Ovis aries: one gene and its partner. The protein of the gene in region 2 interacts with the protein of the main gene of each other region in a biochemical or structural test. Links are inferred from orthologs where the notes say so. Each region holds a gene or a part of one and is shown on either strand. Other genes may lie near its edges. The genes, in order: PROS1 and F5.

Region 1 (4,451 bases), on a different chromosome or scaffold from region 2:
TTTCCACTATATAGATCACCTAAATGCCCAAGTCCCTGGCTTCCCTAGTCTTCCAATCAATTCACTCAGCTTTTTTTTTCCCCCTCTTTTTTTCTTTATTTCTTCTTTTCTTTCTTTTTCTCTCTTCCTCTTCCTTCTTCCTTCCCTTTGCCTTTAGTTATCAAGAGTCATTGCTGTTGCTTATAGCCAAAGAATATTAATTAATATAGGTATTATCAGGCTTCTCACATTTTTCTCAGTATTTTAAAAGTTTAAATAGGAATAGATATCACTTAGCTATTAAAGAGTTTTACTGAACTTGGTGGACAGAAAAGATTGATTATGAAAAGCAAGGTTCTACATCCTAGATGTGATTAACAGCAGAAGAATATGGCACAGGGTGTTGTTATTGATGATGATGCTGTATACCAGACATTGTCTCTAACTCTTCCAGCACCAACCCCAACTCTAATCTAAACTTGATAAAAATCTCTCCATCACTGCAACACATTTTGAACTCTGAAATAAAGGGAATTTAAGAAAAGACAAAGCTAGATAAATGGTAAAAAAAAAAAAAAAAAAAAATTCAGAAAAGGAAAGAAAAAGTAGAAAAGAGAAGAAAAACAGGAGTCATTAATGTCCAGGGTAGACACCTAAGCAGAAGTAGATGTCTGGAAAGGACCAAATTAGCACAGCCAAAGGGGACATCCTCTTTCCTCTATTTTTCTTCACACAGCCTTTAGTGTGGCATACAATATATAAAAGAATAAACTTTAAATCAATAGATAGATATACATATAGATCCAAATCTATATGTATGCATGTCTGAAAAGTCAGTTCATATCTCTGAACAATTTCAAAAAAGTTTATAAACTTTTTCCTTTAATGACTATTTCTATGGACTAAACAATGAATCATATAACAAATAGAACTTTAATTCTATCTCAAGTTTAAAATCTCAGGGAGTAAACACATTCCATCTATATCTCAGTTTTCTTATCAGTAAGCCAGAAATGATTTTTAATCCCATTAAACTATTATACTTTTTAAAACAAAGGTGTTATAGTGCCACCTATTCTTTATGGCCATATGAAGAATTAATTCTGCAAATTAATTCTTTATAGAAGAATTAATTTATCTATTCTATTAGTGTGTATATATAACAAGTGTATTTCTCCCTATGTATGGCATGGTTACACGGGTATAATGACAAACACAGCACACATCATTTTTAACTCAGCTACAGACAATGGTTTGTAAAACCAACTTAGCAACTACACAACAACAAAAGATTTAACAAAAATGTAACAATCTCTACAAAAACAAATGGTTTAGCAAATTTCTGTGGTGACAAGCAGTAAGTGTAGCAAGCCATTTTTGCCTTTTTCTCATTTCCAAAACACTGGTTATCAGACAAACACTTGATTGTCCTACTGAGCTATATAGATAATGAGTTAGTGTATGTGGTCCACATATAGGCTTAATGACAGAGGTTTGTATGTCGAAGTTCTGCAACAGACCTTTAATATAAAATCAATAAATGTTCTTTTAGCCTTTAAATTAGAATTTTAAAACATCACATTCATCCTGATCTGTAACTAAGAAAAATCAGTAGAATGTTGTGTGTGTTATGTTCAGTCGCTTCAGTCCTGTCTAACTCGCTGTGACTCTATTAACTGTAGTCCACCAGGCTTCTCTCTCCAGGGGATTTTCCCAGAAAGTAGGTTGTCCTTCTCTCCTCCAAGGGATCTTCTCAACCCAGAGATGGAACCCACGTTTCCTGCGTTAGCAGGCAGCTTCTTTACCACTTAAACACCGAGGAATGTTAGTAAATTCCTATTTAATTCTCCTGAAATTATATCTTTGTGAAACTTACAATGGAGCTTTAACCATTTATGGTGTAATTCAGTTTATCTCTCCCATGCCATTTCCTGAGAATAAAACATATCACAAGAAAGCATTTTTGACCAGCGAATGTGCTTAAACTTTAGAGAACAAACTAAGTGGCAACTAAAACGTACTAAATACCTTGATATGATTACATTCTTTCACAGAAAACTCAATATCCTGCCTTGAATCGAGGCACGGAAACATAAAGAACAAGACATACGAAGATAAACTGAAAAGAATTCCTGCGATGATCTCAGAAGAGCGGCACTCAGTGCCAAAAACTGTCAGTAAAAAACGATCTGAGAACTACAATATTTAACAGTCCTTTAGACTTCAAGGTTAAAAAAATGATCTGCTATGCAAACGCGCAGTCATCTCCTAACAATTCGTTTGTCAATGTTGAGATAAGCAGAGCAAGATCAAAGTCCAGAAATTGCAGAAGGGAGGTAGGCTGCAGCAGGGGGTGCCGGTTGGGGTCAGGCGCTTGTACAAATGGAAGACAAGAGGGGGTTGCCTTTCCTCCCTACTTTTATACTGCAGTGTGCTCATCCTTGTCATCTGACTGAGAACTTCCACTGTTAGGGGCAATTGGTAGGTAGGTGTTCTAACTCCTTCACTGATGTTTAGTATCACTCTTGTTTTAGAATCTGTCCCGTAGGCAACACGACTCCCATTTGACCCTGCCCCACCATTACAAGGCCCGCTAGATACATTGCTGATGGAAGCATTTACTGGAAACTTTCTAGGAGGCTGCAGCCCCAGAAAAGAAAACCCGTCCAACAGGGCTCGTAGTTCAGTTGGCACCGCTGAGGGAAAGAAGACAAGACGCTATTGATTACTCACAGTTCGCCTCCAAGACGGGAAGCACTAGGGCGAGGCACGTCAGCAGCGTCCCCGTGAGCCCACCCAGGACCCTCATGGCGAAACGGGCGGAGGCGCGGGCAGAAGCGGAGGCGCGTTGCGGCGGGGACCCCAGCGCCCAGCGCGCGGCGGAGCTACGACCCGGGCGCCGCTAGTTGAGGACTGCGGCGCGGGGGCGCCTGCGAGCCAGTGCGCCAGTGCGCCAGCGGAGCCGCGGAGCCGGGGGCGGAGGGGACCGCCCGCTCCCAGCCCCCCGCCCGGCGGGGAAGTGATAACAGGGACATTTCCTGGAAGCTTTTCATTTCGGAGCTGGGGGCAGGGCTCAGGGAGAGAACTGGAGGCCTGGTAAACACTGTCGAGACATCCTTCCTGGCCCTTTCGAGACTCAGCGCTTCGTTCTGGTCTCCGGAATATGAAGTTTGCCAACAACAGGAAGCAAAAGCGTTTAAAACGACCATCTCCACCACCTCCAGCGAGCCGGAGTGGAAGACTTGAGTGGCCCAGAAGACAGAGGACTCAGAGATCAGGGTTCAGTTCAATTCAGTTCAGTCGCTCATCGTGTCTGACTCTTAAAGATCGGGGTATCCAGGCTTAAAGTTTAAAAGGAAAAAATCTGATGTTGGCGATGAAGATGTTAACCAAAATCTGGAAAAAATGAGAACTCTAAGTTGGCTGCGGAGAACAGAGCTAATGGAGGTTTTGATCATCAACGTTTTAATTTTGTTCTTGCATTTATAGTGTAAAGTATAGCAAAAAAAAAAAAAAAGTTCTGCGGAGAAAAGCGAATGTATCGGATTCTATCACCTTCAAATAGCTCATCTTTGGTTTTTGCATATTACCTCTGCTTTTTATGTTTAGGCATGCACATTTGAAACATGTTATTAATGTTTAAGACTAAGTTTAAGAACCGCCTAGATTAGAGTGGCCATGCTCTGCAGTTTACTAATTGTATTATCTGTAAAATGGAGATAATAGTAAGTTTTTACAGTGTTGAGGGAAGAATTTAGAGAGAGAACACATGTGAGGCAATTAGTGTGTTAAAGGGTAGCCCATACTTAAGGCACACTTCCTAAGTATCACTGTCAGTATTTCTGCCTAATCAATGTATCAACTGATTTTCTATGTGTGTCAAAGTCAATAGCCTGATGCTCTCTCAAGGGTGTTTCCCAGCTCTAGCTTTCTGTGGTTCTGTGATCCAGCTGGATGGAAGTTTATGTGGGTCACTATTTCTGAAAATGTGCAAAGGAGTTGCTGAACATATCCATATTCTTCCCTCTTTTAACTTCCTTCTTGCTATGTCTGAATTCCAAACCCAGGCGATTTAATTAAAAATATGTCTAATCTCTGTAGAATTGTTTGGTGTGCTAGCAATCAGAACATAAAACAAAATGACTTTTAAGTATTATATTTAATTACTGAATATTTAAATGCATTTAAGCCACAGCATTGCCTCATTCTTGAGGAAGAATTAAGAGTAGAATATTGGCTTTGAGATATCAATATTTCACAAGGGAAGACTTCAAATATCATGCATCAATAGCGTTCATAACAAAGCATCACCCATATAGACATTAAAAAATACAGAGTATGAAGAAAGGTTAGCGAAATGCAAAGGACCTAAAAAAAAAATCTTGATCTTTAAAAAAGTTCAACCGAGTGTGAAACTTTTAAATCATTTTAAGACCACAAATGTACATCACAGTCCTAAGATTGGTTGTCAA
Region 2 (3,819 bases):
AGTTGATTTAGAGGGTCACCTCTGTAAAGGCCACTGGATGGGTAGGTGTTTTATATTCTGAAAGTAGCCACTCTCCCCACATTTGCTTTTGCTAGATCACATCATTCTGTATGTGGTTCACCAGCTCAGTCTGGGGCTAGAGCATATCAGATTTTCCTACTGAATATTAGATTTCCCTAGAGTCTGGGTGGTTTAGTCGCTAAGTTGTATTCAACTCTTGCGACCCCAGATAGAGGAGTTTGACAGGCTACAGTCCATGGGATTCTCCAGACAAAAATACTGGAATGGGTTGCCATTTCCTTCTCCAAGAATCTGGGAAACAGGCCAGAAGCTCACCCATGAATCTCATAGTATTTGTTATACAGTACAAGCCATTATTAGAGAATCCCATTCTGCCTACTTTCTAGTCTTGCTATACTAGTAATCCCATGCTTCCAGACTCTAAGCATGGTATACAGCCCCCTAGAACATACATAAATGTGTGTGCTAAGTCGTTTCAGTCACGTCTGACTCTTTGTGACCCGATGGACTGTGGCTGGCCAGGCTCCTCTGTCCATGGGATTCTCCCCCGCGACACACATGAGGTTTTGAAGGAACTGGTTTCATCTCTTTACACTCTAGAAAACCTTACTCCCTCAGGAACTTGCTTAGCAATCCCCAGATAAACTACTTATTCTCATATAGTAAAGGGTGTTACAGTTAAATAGGAAGTCACAGGAGAAAGTCTCTTAAACTCAGAGTTTTAATATGGAAATGTCTGGCACCAGACGTTAACTGGCACCAGATTAATGAAATAATTTCTCTGAATCACACCATGTGTTGTGTTTACTTACTCTAGTTGCACTTTGATTTTAATTTATTAGGGTAACAGCTAGCTTTTGTGAAAGCTATGAGCTATATTTAGACAGTATAAATATGGCCATCAGCTACCATGTCATCAGCTATACCCAAGAATTTGTAGTTGCTTTTTGTACCCCTTTCTCTTCTTTCTCTGTCTTGTCATCCCAGAATACAGAACCCAGTCCAATGTGGTTTTCCATAATTGAGAAAATTAAAATGAAAACTAACTTTAAAAAATGCATGTCAATCCATTAAAAACTCTCTGTTGTAAGTCAGTCCACTTACAAAATTGCATCAACTCCTTCAACTCTATGGTTGAAAAGTGGCTAGAACCCTAAAATGTTAGAGCTGAAGCAGATCTTGGGACCCACTTTGTGTAACTGCTTGTTAAAAAGACTGCAAATATCCCAATCAACTAGGAGTGGCTTAAAACTTTTGACGGTTTCTCACTGCTCTTGGAAGAACATCGAAATTCTTCCCAGGGCCCACAAAGCCTAGTAGTATCTTATCTCTACAGAGCTAGCCAAACACTTTCTTAGCACACACCCTCATCTTGAGCTTCAGCTACCAAGGCCTTTAGTCTCAGGGCTTCCTCCTTCCCCAGGGCCTTCATCATGCTGTTTTCTCTGTCTAGAATGCTCTCCCCTCTCCACTTTCTGTTCATTTTCAGATCTCAACTCAAATGTCACTTTTCCAGTCAGACTTCCCACTTCTCATATCACCACTGATCACCTTTCCTTATTGGTCTTCATCATGGTTAATTTTTTTACACTTATTTATATGAGTGCTTGGTTCATATCTACCTGCCCAACTAGACACAAGTTCCATCAGAGCAGGAATCACTTGCATTTATATTCTCTTTTACCGTCTCAGCGCTTAGCACAATGCCTAGGAGAGAATAAGCCCTCATTAAGGAGTTATTGGACTTCCCAGGTGGCACTAGTGGTAAAGAACCTGCTCGTCAATGTAGGAGACATAAGAGATGCAAGTTCAATTCCTGGGTCAGGGAGATCCCTTGGAGGAGAGCATGGCAACCCACTCCAGTATTCTTGCCTAGGGAATTCCATGGAGAGAGGAGCCTGGCCGGCTACAGTCCATGGGGTCATAAAGAATCAGACACGACTGAGCACACACACACACACAAAGAATTATTAACTGAGTGATGTTATAAACCAAGTTAAAATAAAAGTTCCAATCAAGATGAATCATAATCTAATGAATGGCTCAATCGAGGGCATAAACTTGCTTTTTGCTTCTAAGCTACTTTATACCCTTGACCTCTGCAACTGGAATCACATGGAATTTGACTTAATCTTCATCAAGATGGTATATACTTCATACTAATCAGTTAACAATTTAAAAATATTTTTGTTAAGTAATGGCAAAAGGAGATTTCTACATCACAAATTTAGATTTGAAGCCAACTTCAGTGAAATCGTATTGATTATCCTATAGCTATTGATAAGTCGCTTCCCAGGTGGTGCTAGTGGTAAAGAATCTGCCTACCAAAACAGGAGACAGAGGAGATGCAGTTTCAATCCCTAGGTGGGGGAAGATCCCTGGAGGAAGAATGGCAACCCACTCCAGTATTCTGCCTAGGAAATCCCATGAACAGAGAGCCTGGCAGGCTATAGTCCATGGGATCACAAAGAGTCAGACATGACTCAGCAACTAAACAACAACAACATTGATAGATTGGGCTCTGCACTGGAGCAAGAAGGAGTAGGAATATATTTGATGAGCAAAGAAGAGAGAGGAGGGTGCTGATTTAAGTACAGCATATCAAAGACTTCTCACAGAGATGGCTTTTGTGTTATCCAGATGTCACCTGAAGTGGAAAAGCTTATCTTGAAATTGACAATGGAAACAGTATAAGCCAAGTTGCACTATATGGGGGAACTAAATTATACTTAGCACGATTTGTCCAAAATCATCTTCTTAGACTGTTGTAATTACTTTTTTTAGCACTAGTGGAAAAAATGAGAATATAAGAACTGGTCAAACCTTTGCACAAATTTTGAATAATCCCAGGATATTTCTTCAGCTGCAATGTAATAATTTTTTCTGTTTCCATTGTTGCTGCGGAGGTACCATGCTGCAATGTTGTCAGGATTTCTGGAGGAGCTGATATCTGTCCTAAGATCAGTTTGGTAAGGGTCATTATAGGCTACAAATTCAAATTCACCATAGTCTTCTTCACTGCTCTCTTCCTTCTGCCCTGGAATAATTTCAATATAATCTCCATCATCTCTACTGAGGCCTACTACAACCAGTGGATTAAATTCTTCTGGTATAAAAGTGTTATTTAGTGTGGAGTCTGGTGGAGGAGATGGCATCTGACCAATATCTGCATAAGGGAAAGTCTGACCAAATTCTGGAAGAGACAATGACTGACTTGATTCAGAAGTGTGGGATGTCTGATCAAGATCTAGAGGAGGTGATGTCTGCTTGAGATCAAGCTGGCCAAGGTCTGGAGAGAGAGACTCCTGGCTGAGGTCTGGAGAAAGGGCTGTCCGGCCTAGGTCTGGAGAGAGAGACTCCTGGCTGAGGTCTGGAGAGAGGTCCGTCTGGCCAAGGTCTGGAGAGAGAGACTCCTGGCTGAGGTCTGGAGAGAGGGCCGTCTGGCCAAGGTCTGGAGAGAGAGACTCCTGGCTGAGGTCTGGAGAGAGGGCCGTCTGGCCAAGGTCTGGAGAGAGAGACTCCTGGCTGAGGTCTGGAGAGAGGCCCGTCTGGCCAAGGTCTGGAGAGAGAGACTCCTGGCTGAGGTCTGGAGAGAGGCCCGTCTGGCCAAGGTCTGGAGAGAGAGACTCCTGGCTGAGGTCTGGAGAGAGGCCCCTCTGGCCAAGGTCTGGAGAGAGAGACTCCTGGCCAAGGTCTGGGGTAGGGGCCATCTGGCCAAGGTCTGGGGAGATGGATGGTTGACTGAGGTCTAGAGAGGTAGCTGTCTGCCAGACTTCAGGTTCCAAGGAAGGGAAAATT

Evidence for each region.
Region 1: the proteins of F5 (region 2) and PROS1 form a complex in vitro, tested with the Homo sapiens proteins (2 studies listed by BioGRID). The link is inferred for Ovis aries from reciprocal best matches to the Homo sapiens genes F5 and PROS1.

What each region holds. Positions count from the first base shown.
Region 1 is NC_056054.1:159,245,574-159,250,024, forward strand, and holds the start of PROS1 (vitamin K-dependent protein S), read right to left. Parts: upstream 2,897-4,451; 5' UTR 2,789-2,896; coding exon 2,713-2,788; intron 1-2,712. UniProt on the Homo sapiens protein: Anticoagulant plasma protein; it is a cofactor to activated protein C in the degradation of coagulation factors Va and VIIIa. It helps to prevent coagulation and stimulating fibrinolysis.
Region 2 is NC_056065.1:36,462,243-36,466,061, forward strand, and holds part of F5 (coagulation factor V), read right to left. Parts: coding exon 2,845-3,819; intron 1-2,844. UniProt on the Homo sapiens protein: Central regulator of hemostasis. It serves as a critical cofactor for the prothrombinase activity of factor Xa that results in the activation of prothrombin to thrombin.